Linked DNA regions of Drosophila melanogaster. The protein of the gene in region 2 purifies or fractionates together with the protein of the main gene of each other region. This does not show direct contact. Each region holds a gene or a part of one and is shown on either strand. Other genes may lie near its edges. The genes, in order: PMCA, MRP, p23 and CG1371.

The links.
Region 1: the proteins of MRP (region 2) and PMCA purify together in Drosophila melanogaster (affinity purification with mass spectrometry, with the first as the bait; one large-scale study listed by BioGRID). This does not show direct contact.
Region 3: the proteins of MRP (region 2) and p23 purify together in Drosophila melanogaster (affinity purification with mass spectrometry, with the first as the bait; one large-scale study listed by BioGRID). This does not show direct contact.
Region 4: the proteins of MRP (region 2) and CG1371 purify together in Drosophila melanogaster (affinity purification with mass spectrometry, with the first as the bait; one large-scale study listed by BioGRID). This does not show direct contact.

The regions. Positions count from the first base shown.
Region 1 is NC_004353.4:353,083-360,636, forward strand, and holds the start of PMCA (plasma membrane calcium ATPase), read right to left. Parts: upstream 5,576-7,554; 5' UTR 5,468-5,575; intron 2,400-5,467; 5' UTR 2,385-2,399; coding exon 2,228-2,384; intron 2,144-2,227; coding exon 1,949-2,143; intron 1,885-1,948; coding exon 1,598-1,884; intron 1,480-1,597; coding exon 1,269-1,479; intron 897-1,268; coding exon 861-896; intron 1-860.
Region 2 is NT_033779.5:12,716,717-12,723,799, reverse strand, and holds the start of MRP (Multidrug-Resistance like protein 1), read right to left. Parts: upstream 4,756-7,083; 5' UTR 4,560-4,755; intron 2,350-4,559; coding exon of another isoform or gene 2,238-2,349; intron 2,148-2,237; coding exon of another isoform or gene 2,079-2,147; exon of another isoform or gene 1,957-2,078; intron 1,528-1,956; exon of another isoform or gene 1,446-1,527; 5' UTR 1,370-1,445; coding exon 1,316-1,369; intron 1,242-1,315; coding exon 1-1,241. Other genes in the region: Pih1D1 (PIH1 domain containing 1), read left to right, coding at 2,079-2,147, 2,238-2,349, 5,744-7,083.
Region 3 is NT_033777.3:9,675,213-9,681,896, reverse strand, and holds p23 (p23), read right to left. Parts: upstream 3,971-6,684; 5' UTR 3,828-3,970; coding exon 3,811-3,827; intron 3,336-3,810; coding exon 3,249-3,335; intron 3,178-3,248; coding exon 2,921-3,177; intron 2,855-2,920; coding exon 2,661-2,854; 3' UTR 2,239-2,660; downstream 1-2,238. Other genes in the region: CG9444 (uncharacterized protein), read left to right, coding at 1-375; nmdyn-D7, read right to left, coding at 481-1,180, 1,231-1,398, 1,457-1,623, 1,688-1,816; Nepl12 (Neprilysin-like 12), read right to left, coding at 4,178-5,173, 5,233-6,345. UniProt on the Drosophila melanogaster protein: Cytosolic prostaglandin synthase that catalyzes the oxidoreduction of prostaglandin endoperoxide H2 (PGH2) to prostaglandin E2 (PGE2).
Region 4 is NT_033778.4:10,067,903-10,077,179, forward strand, and holds CG1371 (uncharacterized protein), read right to left. Parts: upstream 7,744-9,277; 5' UTR 7,704-7,743; coding exon 7,561-7,703; intron 7,441-7,560; coding exon 6,894-7,440; intron 6,744-6,893; coding exon 5,858-6,743; intron 5,458-5,857; coding exon 5,279-5,457; intron 5,217-5,278; coding exon 4,252-5,216; intron 4,189-4,251; coding exon 3,309-4,188; 3' UTR 3,079-3,308; downstream 1-3,078. Other genes in the region: Cdc2rk (Cdc2-related kinase), read right to left, coding at 36-413, 470-542, 604-732; CG12920 (uncharacterized protein), read left to right, coding at 1,288-1,483, 2,018-2,165, 2,227-2,577, 2,638-3,061.

The DNA.
Region 1 (7,554 bases), on a different chromosome or scaffold from region 2:
TAGATTGTATTTTTATTTAATAATATGTAAAGTCAGTAAAATAACTTTGTATTGCAGACAGATAGTCTGAAAAAAATTTAATTTTAAATGGCCTTCAAAATCTTGTTTTAACAAGATGAACGGGTATGGAATTTAATTTGAGTTACAATTTTTTTTTGTCAATGAAATAAATATTTAAATTTAAAGGCAACCGTTATATGAAGAGAGTTTTGTACTAAGCTTAAAAACCGAAAATTATTCCTCTGCACTTATGACTGAGAAGTTGCTAACACTATTTGAGAAAAGCCATTCCTACTATTATACGGAATTATGCGGAATTTTAAGAAGAAATTATAGTCAGCTGTTTTATTTGGGGCAACGAGAATGTATATAAAGGATCATTTAAAACCAGTTACTAAAGTCACTTCAGCGTTAATATTGCAATAGAGTGTATTTTTTTAAGGCATACGGAGTAGCTGAAAACCCCTTTGTCACCTTGGTGACCCCTTTCAGGCCCGCCGGCTAACAAAAGTTAGCTGTAACAATAGTCTGTATTGATTTAAGCCGATCGTTTTGGCAAGAATGGATTTTTATATAAAACAATTTCGAAAAAACCGTTAAAACTGGTTTTTATAATAATACTGTTATAAAAGTAATAATTGTAATTCTCTTTGAAAGATCATCGAAAAAAGATACAAAGCAATCATTAAAAATATATCAAAATAGAAACGTAATTATAGTGCTCTTAAACATCATTATTGATAACAAAACGTGGTGAGTAGAAGTGCCTATTGTATTTTCGTCAGTATACTATTCTGCTCGAAAAATATGTGTTTGTTGCTTTGCGAAATAATAAAAATAAGTATTATGCAAAAATTCACCTGTCAGATTCTTTTGCTTGTTGGCCCTTTTCGCTTCTGGGATCGACAACATTTTGAAACCATATATTTTATGGTTTTATTTGTTGAAGACATTGGTTGGTTGTGTTGTGGTAGGTTGCAGGTTATATTTGATTGGTTGGTTGACAGGTTGGTTGGTTGATTGGGTTGATGGAAGATGATGGGTCAATCGATTCACGTCATGGAATTCACATATGGAATATGTGAACAATTGGAATATGAAAAAATACCAACAAAAAAGAAAATAAAAAATAAATATATAAATTACATCCTAACGACAAATATATGTATCAAAACAACATAGGTAGGATCTTATTTATAGAGTCGTGGTTATTTACGTGGTTAAAAATCATAAAAAATTTTATTTTATGTTATTTCAATTGTACTAACCCTTTTTCATCTTCTTAATTTCTGCTTCTTGTTCGTCAACTGCCGCACCAAGGAGCGTAAAAATTATACCAGCTTGTGAGTTTACCCCTACGGCTGTAACAACCATTTTGCCGCTTCCTTCCATAACATGCGTGCCGGATAAAACCATGGGATCAACATCTGGCCCCTTTTTGACGTGATCAGACTCTCCAGTCAGAGAAGATTCGTCCACCTACAGAATGAAAAATTATCACCGTCAATATAAATGAGACACGCGCTTTATATTACAAATTGTTTCACAAATACTTTACTGATAAAATAGTCTATATCTACGTTTTTTCTTAACTTACCTTTAAGTCGTTACTTTGAATAAGACACCCATCAGCCGGCAATAAGTCTCCATATTTAACTTGAGCAATATCGCCAACAAGAATATCACCAACTGATATTTGGCACACCTCTCCTCCTCGAATAACTGAAAACTTGTGCTCGCCCTCTATACGATTTTGCAGACCTCGAAATTGTCTTTCTTTAGAGTAATCATTAAATGCTGTCACTATAACTACGACAATAACAGAAATAAGAATGGCCAATCCTTCAATCCAACCATGGTGTTCTTCCTCCTCCTGCAACACAGCTGTAAAAAAAAACAATATTAAAAGACAATATTTTATTACGGACCACAAAACTGAACTACTTACGCGCATCCTCGTCGGCGGGTTTATAAAATGATAGACCAAGCGATACTAATGCAGCTACCTCTAATATAATAAGGGTCACATCTTGAAGAGCCTCCCAGACTAGAGTCAAAAAGGTCTTTGGTGGCTTCGGTGGTATAACATTGGAACCGAATGTTTCACGTCTATGCTCTTCGTCAGCTTTCGATCCACTTAGGCCTTATGGTAATTCAATTAAAGTATTGTAAAAGTAAACTCAATATAAATTAAATACATTAATATTGTAAATAGAGAAAAACTTACCTTCATTGGGAGATGTGTATAACTTTTTACATAGTTCGTGAATGCCACCATTTTCAGCTATCTTCATTACACCCTCACGACCACGATGCTCCATGAGCTCGCGCAGTTGTTTAAGTGAAATTCCATATTGCGCCGGTCTTCCATCTATAGTGGCCATTTGTTATGGTCTTATCTGTATTTAAAAATGTATAAATTCAACAGAAGCCTAACATCTAGATAGCGCAGATAATTTCTTTATTTTTAAAAGTACTTCCCAACGAATATTTTCTCTAGTTAACGCGCAAGGGAGTAATAGGAAGATATGCAAATGGACCATTTATGTATGTATATATTTTTTGCTTTCGAGTATCTGAAATTTGAATTTATTAAAAAGTCGAGAGCACTACACCGCTAGATAACCAAGACAAACGGTAAAACGCTCTGCCGAGACACCGACGATCGCGGTAGGCGCCAAATTTTTATGTGTGATAAAAGGTAATGAAAATAATGTGGATTTAGTAGAACACGAAGGCAAAAGAAAATATAACTGTGGTCTCATTTCACGGATTCTTTGCTTTAGTGAATTTGTTTGTCAACATACAATATATAAATCGCACTAGTCTTAAATTGCGTACTAAATTGAAAGTTATTTTTGTATCTACTGACAATGGATCCGTTGACCATATAATTTCTTTCAAACCGTAACTGTATATATGTACGTAACAATTTGAACGAACTTCGCGGTTTTTGGGAAATGCGGATCAGTTGTCTATATATAAAAGTGTGCCATGCAATTTTTGTGAGCAGTTTCTGAGAGCTGCGCATACACTAATATAATTAAGAAATCTCTATTCAAATTGACTTATTTTAGAAGCCAGACAACATGACAATTTTCAACGTGTAATTCTTAGTGCTAAAATGGCACTTAGTTATTGATCATTTATAAAAACAATAGATTTACTTGTTAGTAAGCTGTTGTCATACAAAAAAGGAACGTGTGTGACGCATTGCCGTGTTCAAGATAATGCAATAAATATCTAGCTAAAAGTAGATCGATCCGATTCGTTTCTTTCCAGGAAATTGTTATTAAATAATCTTATTTTTGTCAACGATAAGCTTCCAATCTGATTAAGACAATGGCATAATACTATTAAAAATCAATTTTGACCGAATTATGTAAAAACTTTAGCATAGCATAGTCAAATATTCTAGTGTCTTTGGCATAGTTGAGTTCACAAAGATATCCTAAGAAATTTTTTTATTTATGATTCATATTTATATATCATATTCTAGCAAGAAAGTTACACAATGGTTTGACTGAGTAGTCAATCTCGACTACACAGTCAAGCTTTTTACACCCGTTTCTCGTTGAACAGTATGTAACAGGCAAAAGGCGTTTCCAAACATATAAAGTATATATTCTTTGATCAGGATTAGTAGCAGAGTCGAACTGACCATGCCCGTCTGTCTGTTCTCAGAAACTTTAAAAGCTAGAAGGTTGTGAGAGGCATATACGCAACACAAGTTTGTTGACCGATGTTGGCACGACCACTCTAACGCCCACAAACCCAAAACTGCCACGCGAACTCTTTTTTAAAATTTCATATTATTATTAGGTCTTGTAAATTTTAATCGATTTGCCAAAAAAATTTTTATCTTTGAGAAATGATTTAATATTTTTGGACTAAATCAGTTGTTTTCGCTATTTCTATCGATACGCCGAAACCATTTTGTCTACGCCCACTCTGACCCCTAAAAACCGCCCAAATTAATCCCGTCCTCATCTTAGAGCAATAAAATAAATTTTATTTCCCCAATTTCTACCGATATTTCCACTTGGACTAGCTGAGTAACGGTCATCTGATAGTTTAAATTACATTTTAAATTCGATGCAAAATTTACGAAGAACATAAACGTATACCTGTTTCATAAGTTATCTTATTTTATTGAAATTTATTGAAAGCTTTCAATTCTGAATCTGATACTCGGTTCAAAAGATTGCGGCGTTTTCAGAGTTCTTCAGTGGAACAAGTTGATCGATTCGGAAATTTCATCATCACGTAATAGAACAGAACTTGCGAGAAGGAAAGACATAAATAGTTTAAATTAACTAACAAGTCAATTTTGATGTTCCTAACATCCAATTTGTATTAATTCTTTAAATTTCCGATTCACTTATTAAACAAGACAGAATCCTATACTCAGCTAGCGGAAATGCGAGCGTAAAATTTGGCATATAGATAGATAGTGTGGAATAAAATGAGAAAAAATTAAAGTGAGTCAACAAACTTGCTCTGCGGCTTTAGAATCTTTATACCGAATCTCAAACATCTTTTATAGTTCCTGAGATCTGGATTCATACGTTCATAGATCGACTCGGCTATTGATCCTGATCAAGGATATATATATATACTTTATATGGTCGGAAACGCTTTTTTCTGCCTGTTACGTACTTTTCAGCGAATCTATTATACCTTTTACTCTACTAGTAATGGGTATAAAAACACTGTTTTCATTTACACAATTGTACTAAACTAAAAGTTTTCATATTGATGAGGTGTGAACGATTTCCATAAATAGAATAAATTCACGCATATGTATGTACGTCAGGGAAGTCATTTTACATGTATCTATTTTAGTTCTAGTTGACAAATATTCGAGCCATTGGCCAAAATTTTTGCAACAATTACATGCTAGTCGGTAACTGGGCCTCACTCTATTTTTTGCACATGTTAAATTTACATATATAGTACACACATAGTACGTGCACATGAATTTTTTGATATGAACACACAGTAAATGAACAGGTGCACAGGAAATGTATCCTATACCGTTGATTCTATATTTCCTAATAAAAACATAAACATACTCAGGGTAAAAGTATTATAAACCCAATCAATTCAAATTCATTGAAATATTCGAGACTTGTTCAAAGGAAGTGCACCCCACCTTCTCTTCACCAACAGAAATCTTACGTCATGTCACGACAAGAGCTACATACATACATATGAATTGGTGTTGGCCATATTGACCATGGAGTAATATGATGAACCTTCGAGCAAATGAAAATTGTACACATTTGGATTTGATTCTGGGCTACTCTATCAGTAACTTTCAGCTTTAATTTCATTTCGAGAACAGCGTATGTTCGGAAAACATACAATATAAAATGATATCATGTTCATTTCCTGGCCCCATTACATTCCTTTGCGTACCCATTCGTTTAACTGTTAAAAACTGCATTTTTTTTGGAATACGTACACAACTAGAAGGCGAAATAATTGTACACGACTCAAGTTAAACGCCACAATATATAGCGAAATATTTAATATAAAGTACTGACACTGTGACGCCTTCCTTTTCAGCAGTATTTATTTTTCCACAGGGAAATATATATCGATATATCAAACTTTTACTATCGAAATCACTTAGTTTTCACAAAACTGTAATATTCTAATATCGATGTATTTTCACATGTAGTGTAAAAATAAATTATTTTATTACGCCGCGCTAGCACAAATGTTCGTGTAGCATATCTCTCTTACGTCGTAATACCTCTTCACTTTTCTTTTTAGTTAAAATGTTAGAAAATCGGTTATGCCTACATATAAGTTTACACTGAACTGCGGCAAAATCTCAGCGCCACAGTTATTTAAAGAGAAGTATTTGAAAGATAGCTGTCCAGCTGTTTGTCTGAATTGTCGCATCAACTTATCTTTTGCTTGCCTATCTTACGTTAGTACTGCGACGATCACCTTCTTATGAGATAAGAGCATAAACGTTTCTTTACACTCGGAAAATATAAATGTAATTGTGTTAAAAATATATTGATTGGCACTATCACATAAAACAAAACCATGTTAAAAGCCAATACATAATTTATTATTTATTAATAAAGTCCATACTTCTGAAACCAAGAAATCGGAACGAGTTTACATATACCATAGGAATATTGTTAAAGCATTTACATATATACATTTAACATTCTATACTCTCTATTCTAAAACACCCAAACATTATGTATAATGCATAAAACTCGTTGAAAACTACATATTTTATTTGTAGAGTAATAGGGTGTACAAAATTCCTTGAAAAGTATAAAACCTTTTTCATTCTTTTCAATACCCTACGGACCATTAATTTTGAGAACCAGCATGTCCTTGTTTCGCTTTTGCACTTTGCATCGATTGAATTAGAAGAGTACAAACAACGACCTGTCCAGAAATTATTGTATATATGTATATGTATGTATATACATATATGTATGTATATCATTTATATATGATTTGATTCATATTCGCACCACAAATATTAATTCGAAAATGATCGTCAAAGTAAACATTATTTCCGACACTAAACCTCACTTAACTTATGTAACAACAATCCCTATCTAGATTTATAAAAGAAAAATTCTCTAGACTTCAAATTATTTGTGTGTTCCATTGCGTATGAACTCATTTCTGTTGAGCTGTTATAAAATTATTAAGTTTCTATTAAAAAGTAATAATATCTTCAAATATTTTTTCTGCAGTGGAAACATAGTGGAATGCTAATTTTGTAAAATACGCTTATATACTGTTTCCGCTTTTGCGGTCAAATAAGTGGGCAATGTTCAGATTTTAGCTTAAGCAATCTATGTATCGATATTTTTCTTCTGTAAGTTCACCTCTAATAAGTAATTGCGTGTGTGAGGTCTCAGTTCGGCTTTTAATTTTGATAATTCTTAATAGTGTTTGTCTTTTTGAACATTAAAAGTGAAAATTGTCGTATAGCATTTAAATATGAACTTCATATAAAATATCTCTCAAATATCAATTATTTTCCAAGATTTGATTGGCTGATTTGTTAAAGTTTTTGCGCGTAGACCTAATCCATTATAGGGAAGCGTCTAGTTCCAGCATTGCCAGGCCAAAATAAATTGTGCATTACATAGAGAATGCCTTTGGGTTTTTAGTATTTTACAATTAAAGGAAACACATAAGCACAAAGCCATTCGGTATATAAATACTCCTTTAAGTATCAGCATACCTTTGTACTAGCTGTTTTTAATGCATTCATATTTAGTATATGGTAATCATTTTTAAACATATTTATTCAAACTTTAAAAACTCGATTTAAACTGTATTTTGAGGAAATTCAGTGCTTTGATCGCAGAAGTTAAACTACAAGTAATAGTTGTGGGTTTTAAAATCTTGTCGGATGCTTTGTTTTTGTTTTGAAAGGTTTTGCATTTATGAAGCTAAGAACTAAATAAGTGTCTTTAAATCGTAATAATATATTTAAATTTTAATTTCCCAGATGGACTACGCACCGTGAAAGGAAATGCAAACCTAATTTGTAGCTGTCTA
Region 2 (7,083 bases):
ATCTCGCCCACGGTGGACTCCTTTTTGGTGGAGTTCGAAATGCGCAGGGCCTTGCGGTAGATGGCATTGATCAAAGCTGTCCTGATTCGCAGGCCCACAATGAACATTCGGTGGAAATATTGCCCCAGAATAAAGGTCTGTGCAGCGGCCAAAACGAAAAGCAGGACAGCGTATAAGATACCCTTCCATTCGGGCTCGGCATCTTGGGCCTCGACGAAGCTGATGATCAAACTCAGGACTTGGGGCTGGGCAAATGTCAGGGTGTCGGTGAACAGCTTCATTAGGGCGCCGAACAGAAAGACGCCTCCGAAGGACTTGTAAATTGGCGGCATAATACTGGCCATGCCCTTCTTGCGGCCATTCTTCTCACCGTGGGGATTCTCAAAGGTCACGTTGCCATTGCTAAACTGCGCCTTGGGTTCTACGCGCGCCTTGTTCTTGTAGTTCTTGCGCACGTTCTGGTTCCAGTGGTGGGCGAAGATGGGCATGACCTCGGAGCAGCTGTCCTGCGGCCTCAGGTCCCACAGATCCTTCTCCTCCAGCGGGTTGCGATAGCCCTTGAGGGCCATTTTGTCGAACCACTGATAGGTGATGCGGGAAAGGAAACTGGCTGACAGTTCGGGAATCTCGTTCTCACCCCTCTGGTACTTGGTTTGTCTGGGCATTCCGTCCGCGAAGCAGTTCAGGATCAGCATAATGCTGGTGAAGGTGAAGAAGATAAAGAAGCTAACGAACTGATACTCCTCCCAGGAAAAGTCCTGCTCGGATGGCTGTTGCGAATTCAGAATCTTCTGGCGCTCCGCGTCCAGTCGAACTTCAGTGCGGCAGCGGGGAATCGACAGCACAGTGAGCAGGAACCAGAAGATGAACTGACATCCCGTGGTCTGCACGCCATACTTTCGATTCAGCGGGATGAATATGAAGAGCAACAGGAAGGTGGCGAACTTGATGATGGGACCCCAAACATCCAGGTCGTAGAGCGGCAGCTCAGAGTCGCCGCCCTTCTTGACCAGCGCCATAATTAGGTCCAGGGCAGTGATTACCAGCAGACCCAGATTCACCAGAGCTTTGCTCACGTTCAGCTTGTTCCACGGTATATTCCTGTCCAAACTCGCCTTCAGGTAGTAAAAGTCAAAGATCACGAACGCCCAGTAGAAGGCGCAGGGTGTCCAGACCAGCGCCGTTTGCTCAAAGCAGGGCGTAAAGTCCGGATCGTTGGTATACCATGTCTCTGTTGCGTTCTGTTCGTTGGACACACGGAAACCATACATTTACACTATGCATTCGGATTGAACACCACTGCTGATGCACTCACCCAGAACGTGGATCCGCAGAATCTGTCCATCGGCGAACTAGTGTCATCCGCCATGGTTACTCGACTGCTCGGCAACCTCCTCCACGTGCAATTGGGCTATATGCGTATGCTATATCGGGCGATGTGGTAACTGTAAAGCGGCAAGGAAATAAACGGATCTATATTTTCGGGCCAACAGCTGTTCCTTCCCAAGCCGCACAACTACAACAACCGCTAATCGTGACAGTGGGAAGTTGATTGCTAGTATTTTTCTGGTATTTCGCGGGCACAGTGGGTGTCGGATGGAAAATGAGTGTATAATTCTGCACTGCGTGTTATTTTAATTGTTTATATTGATTTAAGTGAAACTTGTAATTTTTGTACATAAATTATTAAAATACATTTGCTTGGAAAACTTAGTAGAAGCAAGTAGAAATCAATTGCATTTGCAACAGCAAAAATACAAATGAATTTCTTAAATTTGGATTAAGCTTTTAAAGTTTCATATAGAAATTCATAGCAATTATTCTCGAAAATTCTTGTCATTTACTTTTTATTAATGAGCACCCTGTACAGGGAAAACGCCTATCTAGTATTTTTAGCCTATCGCATGGCATTAAATGTTTTTCCACCGGCGTTCACACTGTCACATTAGTTTTCATTTCAATCGAGTTGACAGCTCCATTCTGGCAAATAAAATTTGCGTTTTTCGCTCGTCGCTCAGCGCAAAAATAGCATTTGCATTGGATTAACTCGTAACTGGCAATTGAAATCGTGCAGCAAAATGTCGCGTCGTTCCAATTTCATTGAGGGCAACGACAATTTTCGCGACCAGAACCTGCGCTTTGTGCGGGTAAGCAAAACTTGAGAAATTCGATGTGAGGAACTATCTGCGCCACTAAAGATGAACTTGTTTTTTTTTTTTTTCATTTTCTAAATGCAGAACGAGTTTGAGGACAATATTAACCAGTACTTTGGAGGCGCCGATCCGGAGGGCAGCGGCCCGCAGCAGAAACCGCCGCCGCGAGACTCGCTGATTGTCCAGCCGACCGCAGGTAAGTGGCGTCCATTGCAACAGCCGGAGCTTCACATGGCACAGCAATCGCTGCCGGTGGCGCGGAGAATCTAACCGGAGATTACAGCCAGCTAGTAGTAGGCATGACTCTGGGTTTATGGTCTACTTAGCACTTGTGTGTGCACAGTAATCTCTGCGAGCGCGGAACCATGTCAACCTGATAAACATCTCACGTCGACGTCGATTGCGCGTAATCGCTCGGGGTGGTACAGTGAACCCGCGATAAGGCGAACAAACGCACGCGAATGGAACACGTCATAGGACAGAAAAACCCATCCTAACGAATCTTCGACAAGACTTTAAAAACCAATTACGAATATTGAAAACATATCCGAATTACTTGTATTTAAAATTGAATCAATTGCTCTAAATTTTTTAATTAATTCCGTAAGTTAACTATAGTTTGTGCACACTTTTTGTATATTCAAATTTCCAATCTTTTAATGGTTATTAATTAGTATTTTGCACTTAACTATTGGATAATTCGTCAAAACAAAGGCAAAAAATCAATTATCCAAACAAATCAGTTTAATTCCTATGCACACTATTATTTGACAAACTATCTATCGTATTGAAACAAAAAGAGGGTTGAGCGGGTAGTTAGTACGAAGTTTTGTAATCTAGCCGTCGTTATTGTGCGCTACGGCAGTTAAGTGTTTACATGTCCAGGGCCACTTGGAGGAAGGTCTAATCGCGCCCACTTGAAACGATAGTTTATAGTCCAGCGAGATTGTACAATGCCAATGACAAATGAGCGACTAAAACGTGTTTCCCCGCCTCGAAGAAGAACTAATTTACACAGAGATACACACAACTAAAAAGAAGGAATGAGAAACTTTAAGCGAATCTTGAACGGAGCTCATAAAAGGTATTGGGCTAGTCACATTTTATGGGCGCCAAAAACTTGTTTGCCCCGTACACGCATGTGTTTTAAGCCATTTGACTTTAGATAAAATTCTAACACATCTGAAACGAGTATTTTCAGTTCGATATAATTAACGGCGAAACCTGTTCCCGCAGCGATTATATAAGCACAAAACAATCGGCAGAAAAAACCCCCTTACAAAACCTAATATTTCAATTGTACGAAATGTGTGTGTTTTGCCTTTACACCCAAGTGAAATTTCTCTTTAAAAACAAAAACGTCGACTCACGATGAGATGCTAAGCAAAATGGCATGGAGATCTCTTGGCTGCACCATAAAATCAAGGAGAAAACCTGACAATTTTCTCAGCAAAAAACGCCACTCTCTTCACAACCTGACTGACACACACGGTTTGTTTGTTCTGGATCAGATCATGCCAGCCGGCACAAATTGTTTACACCGCCAAAGAAGAGTGATTTATTTACAGAATATCAACGACACTCGACACTTGATGACTTTTATTAATAGGGAAAAAGCTGAGATAAGGCTGACTGGCTGCATTTAGCCAAGTGTGCAAACTCTGGAGAAAACAACTTCCACATAGCGAGAATGATTATACGAGCAGCTCCTTATCGGGGACCCCACAGCTGAACCTTATCGTGTGTGCTGCCTGTTGCTGTCCCCCTACTAGACTCTTCCATTGTGTTTGTCGTTGCTCCAGTTATGAATTGCACATCGTAAACCCTATATTGCTCCTAATCGCACACTTGTTTGCTCCACTTGCTGCTGATTCTGAGTCCTTGGAGCTTGATTACCATCGGACTGGGCGAGAAGCTGTCGAACCCACAGATCGTAGGCCATCTTTCAAGGCCTGTGACGTCAGTGGAACCCACGAGGCAATTAACTTCAAATTTGTTCGTACGAACAGCAGTACGACAACCTTGCGCACCACAATTTTTACACTTTTTCTGTTATCAATTAAATAATCGAGCTGCGAGCATGACAAAACACTTAACCATATCAAACTACTTTGAATGTGAATCATCGATTTCTCGTCAGTTCTTTTTTTTTTTTTTCGTATTTCTTTCGTTTGCTGAGAAATGTTTGCGCGGGATATTCTGGAGCCTTTCGGAAATTTCACAATTTCAGGCAAAGAATGTGGACACACAGAGATAGATACACAACACATAGATACGAACGCACACTGGCACACTTGTTCCGCTTTGGCGGAATCCAACAACCACATATCAACAAGGGTATCAAAAATGGACGGCGGTGGTTGTTGTTGGCGGTATCGATGCGACTGAAATGTCACTTATAATTACCTCTACGTAGAAAAAAACTCGCTGCGATTCAAACGAATCGGTTGTGGGGGATCGGAGTGAATAGAATCGAATCGAAACAAAACGAGCCGTAGCGGTTGAGGTCGGATCGCTATTTGGATTTGGATGGAGGGCAGCGTCGGCGGAGCACTTCAAAATCGACGGACAACCGGCTCGTTACGAGCAAAAAGGCAAACTGAATTCGAAGCGAGCGCTGCGAACAAACTTATTTGTTTTCCGCGCTTTCCGTGCTCAAAAAAAAAACAACAAAAATGAGATAATAGCGCCACCTCGGAGAGCGTTTAACTTGGCTCTTTTTGTGGCGCTGACTGCCTGGTGGCCGCCCGATCAATTAAAACCCCCTGCCATCAAAGCACCCGACTCTCCAATAATGCCAAGTTTGTCCAGAATAAAACCCAGCTGAAAGATACCGACTCTCTTTCCTGATTTTAAGTGCCGATTTAAACATATTTTCCTGCTCTGGTGAAATTATTCTGAACCGAAATGGACACACGACGCGACTCTTAAACGTTTTGTTGTCGCAAGAGCAACAAAAGTGGGCCGAAATGATAACGATATCAACAGTAGTCATACAATTAAGAGCATTTAATGGGTGTTTGGTTGCGAATTCTTCACGATTTTGGTATAAGCATGACCATACCTATTGATTATCAGTTTATTGTGTGTTTGATGCCATAAATGTATAATTACTGAGTAGTTTCTTAACAACTACAACTACAGGATTTGCTGCTATGCATTTCGAAAGTACACACCAATAGAATAGAATTCTGTGATAGAATTTCTAATCTAATCAATTTAGATGTTTAATTTAAAATATGAGATAGTGGCAGTGCTTAGTGTTTATAGATTGACAAAAAATCAAACATCAAACTTAGTCAGCATTTTGATAACGACTGAAAAGGCAATCAAGTAGTAATGCAATTGAAATTATCATTTTTTTTTGTGTTGTACAATTTGTTAAAGCAATTAAAGGGTGGGAAGAAATGCAAAACAAAGCAAATCTATTATAGATTTAAACTAAAATTTGTATGCATATTTTCAGTGAGCATTGTCGTCATGAGTAGATTAGATTGGAATTGGTTTGCTAAACGTGACCACATAGCTCTAACCTAAAACGTGTCTGCTTTTTTAAATTTTAAATTTCATATGTGGTACCATGAAAATAGCCAACAGCGAGCTGGACAATCGGCGCCAATTTCTCCGTGACCTGGGCGCCAGTCGGGTGTTGGCCAACGCCTTGGCGCAGCGCACCTTCAATGTGCCCAAGTTCAACCTGCGCCATTTCCAGCGCCAGAGGTTCCGCCTCAGCGTCGAGCTGGGCGACAGTCACCAGGATGTGGTGGACAAGGAGGTGCTCCAAGCCATCGAGGAAGCGGTGGCTAGCCACGACGACGTCGAGTCGCGGCCACGCACTCCGTCGCCGCCGCGGAACATTGATTGGCACAGCGCCAGGATGAATAACTCACCGGCTAATAAGGATCGATCGCGTTCTAGGAATCGTCAGAGAGAGGAAAATTTCCCAAACAACAATCGCGGAGTTGTGGAACAACGGGAGCCAATCAATAGGAATTGTGGACCCGTAAATCGCAATAATCCTGGCATGAATCCTGCTGAGTTCAATCGCAATCGTTATGCAAATGCGCAGGACTTTAATCGAAATAATCGAAATATGGACAGAAGTGAATTCAATCAAAATAATCGCAATTTCAACCGAAATGAGGGTTCACGTCCCAATCCACAGGATTTCAATCGTCCCAATAGAAATCAAAATCCACAGGATTTCAATCGTCCCAATAGAAACCAAAATCCACAGGATTTCAATCGTTCCAATAGAAATCAAAATCCACAGGATTTCAATCGATCTAATAGAAATCAAAACCCCCAGGATTTCAATCGTCCCAATAGAAATCAAAATCCACAGGATTTCAATCGCAATAATCGTAATGCCTATCCGCATGAATTCAATCGTAATATCCGAAATGATAACGAGCAGGAATTTAATCACAATCGTAATGCAGTCAATGATGAATTCAATCGCAATACTCGTAATGTTAACAACCAAGCATTCCCTCAAGGACATAACCATAACAATCGTAATGCGAATGCACAATTCAATCGCAAAACTTTTGACGAGAACCCAAACTTTAATAACCAACGTTTTCAAGGACCAAATCACCAGATCAACTATCGTGTTCAGATGCCAAACAATGATCATTCCCAAGTAAACAACAATCGCAGGCCTGGTAATCAGAACTTCGTTTCGAATCAGCAACCCAACTTGGATCGTAATGCTATAAGCGATGACGGCATTCAGCTGCCAAGAGATCGATTCCGTTCGCCTGAAGCGCATCCAAAACAACCACCATATCCACGTAATGTGAACGCTGACCAGGTTGGAAACCGTGGACCCCAAAAGAGGCACAATTATCAGCGTATTGTGAATGACAATCAAATAATACTACGTCGCACCGACTGGACTGACGAAGAAGAGGATCTAGATCTAGAA
Region 3 (6,684 bases), on a different chromosome or scaffold from region 2:
ACAGTGAATATAGCTTGGCAACTGCCCCAGTTCCTGCTGCTCATGATGGGCGAATTACTGCTTTCCATTCCGGGTCTCCAGTTCGCCTTCACCCAAGCACCGACCTCTATGAAGTCGGTGGTCACGGCAGCCTGGTTTCTAAATAATGCTTTCGGCAATCTGATCGTGGTTCTGGTCACCGAGCTGGGTATGCTTAGCTCACAGATGGCCGAGTACTTCTTCTATGCGGTGGTAATGCTAGTTTGCATCATCCTCTATGCCCTTTTGGCCTTCGATTACACTCTGCAGGAGCGCAAGGCCGGAATGTATGTGAGGATGGACAGTGAAGCGGAGGACCGGGATGTGCCCAGCACCAGCCGCAGCGGGAGCATATAGGAGAAGTTTCTACGGTCTAGTATTTTCATTGCACTTGTAATTTATTGATAAACGCACACAGGCAAACATGCATTTAACTGAAAACAAATAAAAACTAAACTAAGATCAGTCGATTATCTTGAACATATACTGCAGCTCCAGGTTGGAGTCATCTGGCAGATCAGTGCAGTGGACGGCGTTCTGCACCTTGGACTTGCCGAACTTGGCGCGCAGCGTGTGAGGCCGCAACAGTTTGGCGATCTCCGGATCCATGGGTCCACAGAAGTTGCGGAACTCGCGATCAGTTTTCTTTTCGGGATCGGCGCAAGCAATCTCCATGCACATGCATACTCCACTGGCCAACTGAGCAACCATGGGTATATACTCGGGCACCACTCCGCGGTAGACTTCGTAGAACTCCTCGCAGTTGATTCGGGCCATTAGAATCATGCGCATGGCTGTCAACCGAAAGCCATTCGACAGGATTTCGGAAATGATGTCTCCCAGGAGACCATCCTTGATGCTGTGCGGCTTAATGATGGCAAGTGTTGTATTCTTGAATACACATTCTTTAATTATGCTGTGCCTCGCCTCAGATATGAACTTTAGGTCCATTTCCACGTCGTTGTCGTTATCAGAGTAGTAAAATCCATAACGAATCTCCTCACTTTCAAACAGCTCTTCCAAACTGGGCGACAGTTTCACACTGGGTGTTTCCGCCTCTGTGCTCTTGTACTGGGCGCAGGCCTTGATGGTCTCCACTACGTTGTCGCCGATTAGCTCCAGACTAATGGCCGGACCAGCCAGCAGCTCGTTCATAAGGACTCTGGAATTTAGAGGATAAGATGTGTTCCTTGGCATGCCATCTTTACTCACGAAGAGGAGACATCCGTCGTGTCCTTGCCGGACAGAAACTGAGTTACCATTTTGGGAGAGAACTGAACCATCATGCCCTGGTTTATGTTAATCTTGTTGTCGATCAGAGTCTTTAGGAACTTGCCCAGGTGCTTCGTCCACATATTGTTCTTGAGCAAAACGAATCCCCTGAAAGAGATGGGAATTACAGATTAGCGAGTGGATAGCTGTCGATGAAGGAACATACTTCTTGCGATATTTGGCTAGGTTTGTCCGCGTAGTGTCGTCAGCATAATCCACAATGTCAAACTGCCGGCCAAAGACATTGATCTTGGAGCCCACAAAGAAGTCGCGCTGGGTCAGCTCCGGGATCTTGGTGCGTCGCAGAAATGTGCGCTTGTTGCGCTGGTCGAACTGAGGGAAAACATGGCCTTGGTTAAATGTGTTTCTTTGAAGAACTTGTGCTACCAATCCTCACCACTTCCACGGCCTTGTCGGATACATAGTAGGTGATCAGAAAGGTGCGTATGATTCCAGCCTCTGCATGGAACCACTCGGCCACGAAGGCCAGACGCCGCTCGCTAGCCGGAATCGCAGCGGGTTTCATGGTATCGTTTTGAGGGGAATCTTATACCTTGCTTTTCCGTTCTATCGCTTGACAGCAAGTCCTTTATTTCGAGTGATAACTGTTTGTTTGCTTTGCATTTCAATTGTGCTTCTTCTTTCCCGCGTTGTCACAGCAACAGTGTTGCCAACATAACAAAATTCATTTAAGTGGGCGCAAAATTTAAAGAAAAAAATACCTATGTTAATTTTAAACCCAAATTCTAGGGGATTACCCATAAACAATTTTTAACCATTACCTATAATTTCTTTTTAAAATCGCTATCTATTCAAAGATAAAGCCTTCTTTGCGACATCTTTAAGAAGCTGGACTGCGCATTCCGAATTTAACAGTTTAGAGATTTCTAGAACATTTATAGAATGTTGTAAACTTATAAAATATTGAAAATAAAAAGCCGAATATAAGTTTTTCATTTTTTTTATTGTTAATTTCCTTTATTTACAGGAAACAAAAATAATAAACTGCAAACTGATTTTTGCAATAAATTGGTTGTAGCTTTCCTCTGGTTGTTAAATTCTAGCGTAAAACTTATGGTTTCCCTTGTCGGCGCCAAATCATCTTGTTCCTTGTGTTGCTTTTTGTTAACATCTCTCCTCTGAATACGCATAATATTCAGGTATATTAAATGTGGTTTTCTTCGATTGGAATAGTGTTTCATGTACGCATGCGTTTGTGGATGTTTTATGAGTGATTGAGTGTTTCTTCTTTTTCTTTTCTGGTGTGTATGTGAGGAGTGAGTGTTGTGATCGTGTGCTGACTTATGGTATAAGAGCCACGCCTAACGCTACGACTACGCCAAATTGCGAGACACCATCTGAGCGACCGTCTAGGCAGCTGGCTTCTTCTCCTTATCACCCTCGCCGCCCTCCTCGTCATCCTCGTCGTTCTGGGACAGACTTGGGATGTTGTCATCCGAGTCCTCCTCCTCGTCATCGACGTTGAAATCGTCGAACTTGTTGTTCCAATCGCCACCAGGGCTGTTAAGGAAATTTCCAAACATGCTGTTGTCTTTTTGGTCACCTGCAAAGTGCGTTTGTATGAGTGGGTTTGCTGGATGAGATCTTGGGGATGAGGATGTCAACTTACCCTCCTCGTCGTCGGACTCATCGCGCCACTTGGCAAAGTTGGCTTTTAGGAAATGCAACTTGGTCTTGTCCGTGGTCAGCGAGGACCAGTAGGGACCGGCCGCCTTCTTGGGTATTGTGAATTCCAGGCAGCGGCCAATGTTCTTGCTGGTCACCTTCTCGGGATCCACCTCGTGGAGGAAGTTCAGTGTGACCTCGTACTTCTTCGACGGATCCAGCACGTTTACGCCCTTGAAGGTGAAGGTTTTTTCCGTAACTCTGTTTTGGGATAAATATATGGAATTAGGATGTGCAAGGAGCATGGACATACTACATATGGGGGCATATACTTGTGTTCGATGTCCTTGCATTCGACATCGATGATGACGTAGATCAAGTCATTGCGCTGGGCCCAGGAAACTGGAGGCGGAATCAAGCTGCAATGGAGGATCAAGTTGGATAAACATAAATAAGAGCTTCATGTCGTTGTGCGAGATCCGTTGCCATGGCAACTCGCGTCGGACTTTCTGGAAGCGGGTGCACGAACTATGTAAATAGCTTCCCAGCTAGCTAGATTTGCATAAACCATAAGCCCAGGCAAAAGTCCATGCCGAAAATGCACGGCATTACCGCCAGCCGAAAACATAACCTCAAACACTGGACCCTCCGATTAGTTCCACAAATATCGCAATGCAGATGCGCACAGGACACGCCCACCGTGGACACAAACGCTTGGCCAGGCGGATGAGCGCGAGAATAAGGGTCATCCGAACGAAAATTATGTGTTTTTCACGGCCGGGAGTTCGAAAATGGACGCCGCCGCAACGACAAAGCACGCGACGCACAAAGAAGCCACAAAAAGATGGTCCGGCTATCGCCGATTGGCACTGAGATGGCCGGTTGTGGACTCACCCTGCTGCTGCCGACATTATGTTGTTGCTGTGAATTGTTGGTTTATGTTTTACGAAGTCGGAACACTTCTGACTGACAGCCTGACTTGGTTACAAAAAAAGGCAGTTTCTGTTGAACAAAATTGTCATGCACAAAATTGACATGAGAAACAGAGTTACCGAGCGCGCTGCGGAGATGTGACTAAATTTGAACGGTGCTCTGGGGTGCGAAACTTCGATAGTTGTACTCAAACCACAAATGTTAGCTTGTTACGTGTAACGTAAATTTGAAGTGTTGTGTCAAAACATTTTACATTGTCGGTAAAAAGTATTGAAATCAACTTTTATTTGGTTCAAGGAATTTATGATGATGATTATAAATCTATGATCTACCAAAGTCGGCACGTTTTGGCGCCAGGACGCATGCCGCTGCCCACGGAGCAGTTGTAGGCGTGGAAGAAGTCCTCGCTGTTGGACAAAACTCCCAGGACACGAAATTGGTCGAAGGTGTGCACATCGCTAAGACCTTTCCAGTAGTGCTCCTCCTCGTAATGGGAGCAAAATAGCTGGGCAAATCCCAGGAAGAACAACTGTTCCGGCGTGAGATCGAGACCCGGCATGGCGTCGCTTATCCTCTCCTGCCCAGGATGCTCCAGCAGTTGCTGCCTGTGACTGCGATAGGCCGTCAATGCTTGTCTTAATCCGCTATTGTCTGCGATATTCTCGTCCAGTGTAGTTTTTCCGTTGACACGCCTGCTGATCTCCGGTACCTGGTACTTGCCATAGTAGTCCATGTAGCACTCGGCGCGATCCTCTAATGCCTGTTGCGAAATTTCCGACAACAAGGACTCCATGTGACCATTGCCATCGAAATAGGAGCTGGTCGTATCGAAGCCGTGGATGAGTTCATGACCAACGATAAAACCCAATGTGCCGAATTTCAGGGAAATCGGCAGGTGGCGTTGGTATATCGGTGGTTCCACCACGCCAGCCATCACATTAATGGAGTTGTCCGGAGTGTAGTAGCCCGCTCCAACCTGCAATCCTGTCAGGATCTTCTGTGGCTTGGTGTCATTGGTCAGCTCCTGAAAATGCCGACTGCTAAATCGATTGATTTGTACAACTAGGTGCTGCAAATTAATGTTGGTCTCCGCATAGCGATCCTCGATGACTTTCAGACTGTTGATTTCCCGGATTATTCGATCCGAAAGTGCATCATCTTGGAACGAACCAATGCGTGGCTGTATTCTGGACTCCTTAAGCAGTGCCCTCGCCCTGCTCTCCGCATCCAGCCAATCGGCATCCTCCAGCGCCTTTCGCAGACTCTTTCGCAGTTCCCGCACCATTTCCGACATCTCCAGCCTCTTCGCCTCACTGAAGTTGTTCTGTAACACAAGAGTGTTGAGATTATTTGGTATTCTCATCATACGCATTCGTTACCCACAGCCATGTAGAGTTTGTTGAACAGAAACCGCATGGATTGATAAAGCGTAACCGAACAGTAGTTCCTTTGGTACCTGGGCGCCTTCAGTTTGGGATCGAATCTATAGAGCAGCTTCATGGCCAGGTAGTTGGCCACAGCCTTGCGATGTCGGGCGCATACTTTGTCCAGTTCAACGTAGTAAAAGTCGCAGAATAATTTGTTAGTGGAGTGGAGTCCACTCCACGAGATGTTATAGTAGTACTCCGATTGGGGAAACACTCGCTTAATTCGGTAGGGATCAAACACTTCGCACTGGGGCGGGATCTCGAGTGCGTCCCGCCAGAAGGCAAAGACCCCAGCGATGGCCTCCCTAATCCTGTCCTCCGGCAAGCCGAACGCCCTCAGATATCCGTGCATTCGCTCTTCGTTCAGGCGAAAGGCGCGTGTGGTATTTCTGGAAATGTTTTCCTCATGTACGATGATGTGATCGAAGCCCAGTTCGGGCAGTTTGGTGTAGGGCTCAAAGGGATACCTTAACTGGAGAGTTTCGCGGATCAGACCGTTGGCGCCATAGTTGGCCAGATGAGCACTCATGTTGATCCAGTTAAAGTTTGAGGCTTTCCAGGCGTCTCCATCCACAGCGGGAAATCCTCCAATCGATCGAATTAGACTCAAGTAAGCGGGATCCGCCGCATTGAAAGGATGGAGATTTGCTCCCAGACAAGCGTTGTAGAATCGCTGGGCCACCGCCAGTTCGCTGGATACGTTTAGAGCCTCCGCCAGATCCATTCTGCCCAGCAGTTGCTCCGTGATGTCGATCAGTGTGTAAGTCACGTCGCCCAGGTTGCTTCTACTGCCCGGTGAGTACCGATCCGGCTTTACGTTCCGATAATTTCCACAGGCATACTCGTAGAAATTCTCGCAGGGCTCTACACTTTGGTTCATATAGGATTTCATGAATTCCGCGTATTCCTGCAGTTGGTACTCTGCCGCGGATCTATTGGTCGAGCTACCATTGCTATCGGAATTTTCGGACCTGTCCACAAGGCTCCTGGCCTCGCAATCCGTCAGAACCGCAGCCACAATGACCCACAGCAGCATCAGGGAGATCAGCTTCAGTGATTCATGAAACATATGCGTATTTTATGGGAACACTTCTCAATTGGAACTTATAAAACACACTGATTTAAATCGCGAACGAAAACTGGCAGAATCCCAATAAAATCAAGAGAGCAATAATACAGAGATATAAAAAACCCTTATCAGTAGAATGTGCAACGGATTGTTGATAAGGAAGCGAGTAAGTTTTTGTTTACAATCTGTATACAAATAAGAGATATTTATTGATATTTAGTATTTACATTTTGCAAATTTAATTCCTGTTATCTGCAACGAAAGTGAAAGGAAGTGAATATCGGGTGAATAACAACAGCGGAGTAACAGGTGGTTAACAGATGATAATAATACTGTTGA
Region 4 (9,277 bases), on a different chromosome or scaffold from region 2:
CCGATATCGGGATTAAATATAGATTATCTTCTTACCAACTTTAATGCAGCCCTTGTCGGTCATCAGCAGATTGGATACCTTTAGATCCCTATGGATCATAAAGCGCGAATGGAGATATTTCAAGGCTTTAAGCACCTGCAAGGTGATGCACTTAACCTCGGACTCGGTGAAGGGCTGCGACATGTTGTCTAGCACGGAGGCTAGGTCCTGCTCGCAGAAATCCATTACCAGGAAGATGCTGTCCAAGCTTTTGCCCACCACCACCTCACGCAAGCGGACAATATTCTCATGATGGCACTGCTTTAGGATCATGATCTCGCGGAGTCCACTAATTGGCAGACCATCCTTTTCCTGATCCATGCGGACCTTCTTTAAGGCCACAATCTCATTGCTACGAGTGTCACGTGCGCGATCTGCAGGGGATTTCAGGTTAACCGAATGCGTTAAATGCATATGGAACCAAACTTACAGACAATTCCATAGCTGCCCTCGCCAACGCGGTTCAGTTTCTCGAATTCGGAGACAGGACGACAGCGGCCAAACTGAGATATTCGCATAAATCAAATGTTCTGATGAAGATTAGCTACAAGGAAACTAATTTACCAGATTCTGCTCGGGAATCGGCATGGGTGTTCCGGTGTTAAGCGACATTAGGAAGCCCTTCCGGGTAATGGGCGCCTGGGGATCCGGCGCGGGATTGGTGTCCACATCGTTTGACTTTAAGCTGGACATCCTTTAAGTAAGATGCATTTATTTACAAAACCAATAACGTCAACAAATGTTTACAATATTTAATTAGAGATGGAAGTTCTAGATCGATATATGCTCAACTTGTCCGATAGCCCGCAAGAACTTTTTTAACCGGTTCGATTTGGCGGGGTTTTACATAACTTTTGAAAACGGTTCTGGGAAAATCGCCAATTGTCAATTACCTTACATGTAGGCTCATATTTCGTAATGGATACTAATTGAACCAAAGACAAAAGTGGCTAGAAACGCGGGCACGACTTATGAAAGTGAAATTGCACTAGTTTAAAGAAATTTCAAATGCATGTCTTGGGCATTAAACTCGTCATCGCGGGCAATACGCATGTGTGAAAATCTGCGCGCAAAGCCACAACAACGACGCTTCAATTATCACTCTGAACTTGGAGCGGATCACCGATAGCCGGTGGTATATAAGCCGGCTACCCGGCTTCGAGCTGCATCATTCGGTTCTGCAGTGACCAACCAAAGCCACAGGGATACCAGCTTTTGCTCTTTACACCGCTACAACGCTAAACAATCATGCACAAGAACACCATTTGGTACGGAGCTGTGCTCCTTGTCGTCTACTTCACGCTGGTGTTTTGCGAGGAGACGAAGAACGAGGAGGCTCCGGCGCAATTGGATAACCAAGTGGAGGACACATGGGAAAATCTCGGCCGGGAGCTAATGGAGTTTGAGGGACGTACTCGACGCCATCGTCACCACATGTTCTGGTGTAAGTAATATCGGACATTAATTTAAAGAAAACAACTATAATTTTAGTTAGCTATCTTAAACTCCCAAAATGTGTAAACATCTCACCCTATCTCTGCAATTCTTAGATTAAACAGAAACATCCTATAAAAGTTACCTAACAATAATCACCACGACACTTTGCAGTACATAGATACTAAAAGATGTTATCAAAAAGCCTAATTTATATAACAATTAGCGAGCAAGTATTACAATTATTCTGATCGTTCGGAATCAACATAATCACATCTCTTGGGCGTTAACCATCCCACTTTCTTTCGAAAGTTTCCGCACAGTTCAAATCCCAAGCCAGACGCACCTCATCCAAACTGGACGATCACGAATTGCTCTCAATTAACACTTTTCACTTTCAATCTTGGGCAAAGATATTGGTTAATAAATTGTCGTGAAACCTTCTTCAAAAGTAGAAGTAGAAGTCGAACAGTGAAAGTTTTCCAAATCTGATGCAATGGAAAATTATTTAATCGTGTCGATATCATTGTTATTATCTTTACAGATCGTCACCTATGGCCCATTGCCATTGCTTACTGGATCAAGGTGAAAGTGGTGATCGTATCCTTCTTTGTGGGCAGTGCCATCTACTTGGGTCTGCGCTATTTCTGGCCCCATGCCAGGTGCAACCAGGAGATCATCCTTGATCATCCGTAAGAAGCTCTCAAAACTGCGTCCCTTACTGGTTTATTAATAATTCCATTTCTTTTTTAGTCCTTCGTCTTTCTCTCATCACGATCACATTCCCTACTCTCTGGACCACGATCACTCGGAGCACTATGATGCTCCTTCATCTTTTGACTCCGGCGCCAGTTTCGAGCCCTATTCCGGATACAGCAGCTATGCTGGATCGGACATTGTCTCTGATGTGCATGGCGACTACCATAGCGAATCTCCCTCTGGACCAAGTGGCCCATCTGGTCCCGTAGACACGCGCCGTCGCGGACGCCGTAGCGCTGCAGATAACGCCCATTTGATCCAAGATGAGCAGGAGGAAGAGCATGTGGAGATTGTGGATGAGGAAATTTCAGAGAGCGTGGCTCGCCAAATGCCCGCCGAAGAGCAGTAAGTACAGAACGTTTCTTATTCACTATATAAGGTAACATTTTCAAAATTCATCTTTAGGATTGCCGATTTTATGTTCGCCTTTTTGGGCCTGGACTCAAAGGCGTGCCGACGCCGATTTGTCTGCGAAATGGAGTTTAGATCCAAGTTGAATCCCTTGACCAGCATGGCTTTCCGCATTGTGGGTCGCGGTTTCTTTGAGAAGTACACCAATGCCAGAAATCCTATGGCCAGGGCCACCAGCTTTGGCGAGTGTGCTGCCGTCAATCCCGAGTGCATTTTCGTGGAGAACGACAACGGCGAGGAAAATCCGGAGTCGGAGGCACACCAGGAGGCTGATCAGCAACAGGAGGAGCAGGCAGTCACCGAGGAATCTGCCGCTGAGGATTCCCAGAATGAGATCAACCTCCAAGCCGAAAGGCGACGAGCCAAGCACAAGAATCGCAAGCTCAGCTCCATTGCCGAGCACATCCTGATGCAGTAGAACAGCCTTGTCTAATTAATCTATTTAATTGTATTTATTTATTTTAGCTATAAGAGTGGATAACGAACACAAATAAACTTGCCTCAATCTATGTATGGAAAGTGAAAAATTACAACGTTTTCTTAAATGCAATTCAAATTAAAAAGGGTTAAACAAAATCTCACAGAAACAAAAACCAAATGAATACCTACCGCGAATACCTCGAAATGTGACTAAATTGAACAACTAATGCGACTATCAGTCGGAACTAAATCTTCTTGGTCTTTTTCTTCTTGATGGCATTTATCTGGTCGGCCATCTGTTCAATCTCGCGCTGGTTGATTGGCTCGTTCTTGCGCACCTGTGTCTTGCTTTTCTGTCGCTGGGCGAGATCGGCGGCGACATCGTTAAGCTTGCTCCACACGAAGCTGAGGAAACTGGTGGCCAGATCCTGCTTAAAGAAGGCAATGGCCACCAAGGCGATGAGCACCAGAGCCGAAATCGAATTCTGGTTGAGATCCGCTTCGGCGGCGCGCACCTCCGGCTTGAACTCCAACTCAACGAACACGGAACCCCTGTCAGCCACAAACGTAGTCGATGGCAGCTTGTAGGTATATGTTTTATCGGAGAGGGTGGACTGCAGTTCTACCACGTAGCTCTTGCCGTCCAGAGGAATGCGAGGGAAGAAGACGGTGATACCAGGGTTCAGTCTTGCTTTAGGATTCACCGGGGTGCCCACACGTTGCGAGAACACAGGAGAATCCGAGTTTCCTTTGCGGTACATCACAATGCGCAGCGTCTTGTAGTGTTCATTGAGTGTGGCCGTCACCCTAGCAGTGATGTCTACAATCTTCAAGGGGCTAATAGCCACCAGATTTATGTCACGCACATCCTCGTTGGCCACCTTAACCGTGTGCTGGGCAGGAATAGATCGCTCTACGATTTCCTTGTCGGGAACGACGCGAACGGAGTAACTACAGCCAGGTTGCAAACCTCGGATGCGATACTGTCCATTCGCCTCGCTGGTGGCCTCCTCCGGCTGCTGGGGGCACGAATTATCGGCTGTGGCCTGAACATTAACGCCGGCGAAGGGATCGCCGTTTAGGGAGCTCACTGTGCCAAAGATCGAGTAAGCGAAACGCTTGCCACTTTAAAAATAGAGAAATGCTTCTTTATATGTATGTTGAGGAATGATCAGAAATTTTACTTACACAAGGGTAACAGAAACAGTCTCGCCATCCTTAATGTCAATCATTTTTGAGTTGGGCTCGAATTTGTACTCCTTCATCATGGGTCGCAGGTAGTACTGCGATGGCGAAAGGGAGTGGAAGTTAATAGCTCCATTATCGCCGGTGACGAGGTTCTTGCGATAGCTCTCCCCACCGCTCAGCGAAAGGAGGACTCCGCCCAATGTCTGACCAGCCTCATCCTTGACAACCACCGAAATCTCGCAGAGTTTGTGAGCACTAAACGAAGCTGTCTGGCGGTTGTAGTCGCTGAAAACGTACGACTCCTTTTCGGCCTTAAGGTCAAAAGCAAGAGACTCTTCAATTGGGCCAAACTTAAATTCTCCGGTGACGGACGTGAGTACTTCCAGGCTCTCCAACTCAGGCTGATCAGGGAAAGACAGTGTGATCTTTGCATCCTTAATGGCAGGAACAACCTTTCCGCGTAGAATCAAACCTCTGGTAGCCACAAAGTTGAAGGCAATATCTACACAATCGCTGCTGCCAACAATTTCGTGTTGCTGGGGCGCAAACAGTAGGACATCGCTCACTGGTGTAATACGAAGTACCTGTTCCGGTTTCAAATACGTGTCATAGCGGTAGGCGAACTTGCCATCTACTTTGTGGGACTCAGCAACAGGTGTGATCACCTCCTGACCCAGCGATTCAGATTCGAGCACAAGCTTAATGGAATCAGCAGTGGGTTCGGTAGACAGAACTCGAACGCCAGTCTTGTGGGCCACTGCATTAATGATTAGTGTTTGCAACTGATCTGGTTCTGGTGTAATGAATTTGCTGGGTAACGATTCATCATACGTGTGGCAGCCCTCTAGCTTAAAATCGTAGCTACCATACTTCTTCACGCAAAAGGTATTCACTCCTGACGCAATCTTCAGCGATTCAGTAGGTGCCTTTGGCTCAGAAGGTCCAGTGACGTGGGTGTATTTCATCTTAAAAGGAATGTTTACATCATTTAATATACATATGAAGTCGTTTAAAGTGTCAGACTTACCAGTGCCCGATGGCTAGAGATAATGGACACCTCGTAGCCCTTGTGTACAAATGGGGGAGCATCTTCTTCAGCAGAAGCAACGTTCAGGAACACGCGGGTCGATTCGTAGCAGAGATTTCCCTGGGGAATTGTAAGTTCATAGGGACCGGGAAGCATATCCTTAAAAACGTATTTGCCACCTACAATCCAAAACCATAAGATTGATGATAGGGTATTTTGGATGATACATGGTTAGTCGGAAGACCATCTTAATTAAAACAGAACCACCACGCCAAAGATACTTTATCTACTGTTGTAATCTTATTACTTATCAGCGGCCACTGGTAACGAAATCCGTGTCAACTAATATTCTTACCTAGTGAACTTCGTGATACTTTTTTAATTTAAATATAATAATGGTTTTGAAACTAGAAGTATTAGCACATATCCATTTCTGCTGAATAATTTTTAAACCTTCTAAGATAGGTTATCTCAAAACTGCATGTTATTTCTTGTAAGTAGGATAATTAAATTTAAACCTATATTTTCTATGGTTAAATTGCTGTACTTGTACGCATAAACTAAATAATAATTACTTACGATGTGCCCTGGCCTTCCACTTGTTCTCCGTGGGCTGACCGGTGGCATCTAAGGCCTGCAGGGTGACCTCAGCGGAAGTGCAGGTGGCGGTAGCATCAGGCAGACACTGCAGTTCGCCGCGAATCTTTGCGCGCAGCTGGGAAAAGGTTATGCCATTGACGGGTGCATCGCGAACCTCCGTCTGCTGCTGAACAGGGAAGAACTGCACTCCAGCGGCCTTGTCAGCATCCGTCGTCAGCACTTCAATGGTATATTTGCCAACAGGAAGAAAGGCGCACCAGTTTCCGGTCTCCGCGTTTGTGGAAGCCGACGAGTGGAAGGTGGAGCCGATCTTGGTAAGTCCCACATTATGTGATTTCGGCGACACTACTTTTCCGCACACCTCATAAGCAGATGGCACAATGGTGGGCAGGGAAGCTGTGTTGATCTGAGCCTTGACTTGCAGGGGAGAAAACTGCAGCTGGGAGGACTCCACTTCGATGTTGACTGTGCCTGCCTTTAAGTTTTCCAACGTATATGAGCCCTGGGCATCAGTCTCGGCCACCTTCTTTCCATTAACTTTAATAACAGCTGACTTTAGCGGTTCCCCTCCGGCGGAGGTCAGAACTCGACCAGAAACGGTGAAGCCTGTGATCTTAAATTCGTCCTTGATTTGCAGCGTATCCTTGCCCACTTCTAGTTCCAACAGCTCAGGACTCAAGTGCAGCTTCAACTTGGAATCTAGGTTGATAGCTTGCAACAGGTACTTTCCAGATGGCACGTTCTTGAAAATATACTCTCCCGATTTGTCCAACTGGGAGAAGCAGGAGGATGCGGATTCGTATGCGCTATTAACACTATTAGGCGGCGCTGGGGAGGATGTCTCACATTTTGGCACTAAAGATTGCTAAAAAGAGAATAATGATAAACGTTAATAATTAATTAAGTTAACAACTTAATTTAATTTATGTAAAGTGTATACAGCAGTTTTAAATAAATTAAACAATTTTTGTGTTCTTTCTTTTCAGAAAATGTGTTAGAAAATAACTATACTTACTCCTTTCTTCTTGTAAAGAGCCACACCCAGATTTCCAGGAAGCGGCGAGCTGGAATCAAAGCGACCAACCACATCGAATCCTGAGACTACCAAAGAGTTCGCCGGCAGCTCGGTGTTGCCGCTAACCACAACCACCTTGTGCTCCGCCTTGGAGAAGTGCCACCTTGCGTGCGATGCCTTGACCACGTAGTTACCGGGAATAATGGGCGTAAATGAGAACACTCCGTTCGCATCGCTCTTTGTGCGCCGGACTTCGCCCTGTTCAGATCGCAGCTCCACGTCTACGCCTCGGGCACCGCCGCCGGCGGCGAGAGCCACCTGACCGGTGATGCCAAAGCCCTTGAACACAAAGTTCACATCGCGACCCTGGCTGCAAACGTCGGTCTTGCCATCGAAGTTCAACTCCACCTGTTCCGGCTCGAAGCTCCAACCCGGTGGCGGAGAAATGCTGAGCAGGTAGTCGCCCTTATCATAAATCGGCAGGAAGTAATATCCGTTAGAGGGTGAGCAGTCCGTCTTGTCCTTCAGGGATCCCTGCTTGGTCAGCCTGCAGAGCGAGATGGAATTAGGTTAATCACATACGGGCCAGTTAATTTATTATTCAATTAGCGGCCACCATGCGCCACAATTCTTATCAGGTCATCCCAGAAAGGGAACTTTTACTTACAGTTTGATCTCCACCCGGGAAAAGTCAATCTCGGCGTGGCTCTTGATGAATCCACCGCAGCCGACGACTTCCACCTCGCCGGCGTTGGCATTTTGGAAAAGTTTAATTAATAAAATTACGAAAACGCCGGAAAAAAACCTCATTTTGACTACGTGCCCAGAGTGACCAGGGCTGCACCTTACAAATACGGGCAACAGTGTGGCCGTTCGTTAATGTACACACTCAGTTTGCGATAGTTACCATATAACTATAAAAATTTGAGTATTTAAAATACTGCATCCGTTAAAATAACGGTTTCAAAAGCCTTAGTATCGTTTTTATTAAATTTAAATGCACGTTACTTTTGATAAATAATACATAGCTTGCAATTTAATTAAAAATCTACAATAGTATTATTAATATTCAATATTCAAAATATTGTAGATCAGTTTGCTTTATTTATGTTTGGTTTTTCAATTTACTTTATAAACTTATATATTTTTGACAAGCAACAATACCCTTACATTTTCGATGATCAGATATAAATATTTTGAATGTTACCTCTTCACTTCATATTTCATTTTATTATATCTTTGAAGGAATCTTAACTGAGTTATCGTTAAGGATGGGCCATAAAAGAAGTGCGATAAAGTGAATACAATTATTATTAAGCGCTCGCCATTTGGCATCGACATTGAACACACTCGTCTGCTGAAACAGATAATGGCTTGTCGTATATTAATAATCGGAACCAATTTCCATCACCCCAATGCAAGATAAAGACTCACACCCGAATATACGTACATTTGTATCTATGTTTGTACATGGATGAGTGTGCGAATCAATCCACAGTAAACCGATCTGAGGCCTCAGGCCCCGAGATATTGCTGCAAAGAAATTCATTTCAAGCGTCGTTGGCGCTATTGCGGCGCATGTCTAATAAATATCATCGCCGATCGCGCGATAAACGACTAGCACATAAGGAATCCACAGTACGGTATATATGGGTCCGAACTCCCCAGTCTGATCCGATCCAAACAATGCCCAAGAGAAGCGCTACTTACTCAATGGGGGGAGAATATGTGTAATGGCATGACTGGGTGTCTGTACTGTAGCTAAGTCAATTGCCCGGCATTGACTTTGAAAAATCGCCTCGAGATCGTCTTGCTTCTTGGCCGTGCTCCATTAAGTGAGGCTGATGGTTAACCCTCTGTGCAAGCACGTGATATATCTAGATCTTACAATATCATGTACATCGACATACCAGCTCAATGCTGATATATGTACATATATGTTTGCACAGATCATTGAATCAGATTCATTAACACTGCATAAAACCAAAAAGGTCTCAGAGCTTAGATTGAAACAATTCGTCCGATTTATTCCATAATTAATTAAGCTTTTCACAACTGAATTTATATAAAACAAATGATGTAATACAAAAAAGTAAGATACAAAACACAAAAAAGTAATAGAAGCTTTTCAAAAACTATTGTATATACAAATGTACATACATATGTATATGTATATAATTTTAAATCATTGATTTACCATTTCCGAACATTGAAAATTATAAATAAAAATGTGGTCTTGCACAATGCGAAAACAGATAACGACTAATGGGTTAAGAAGTGCACCGGAAGCGTGTGCCATCCGATCCCCGCTCTTACGGCCTGAGCAGTTCTACCTGTGGTTACCTGTTTGTCGCAGACGATTAGAAACTAATTAGCTGACCAAC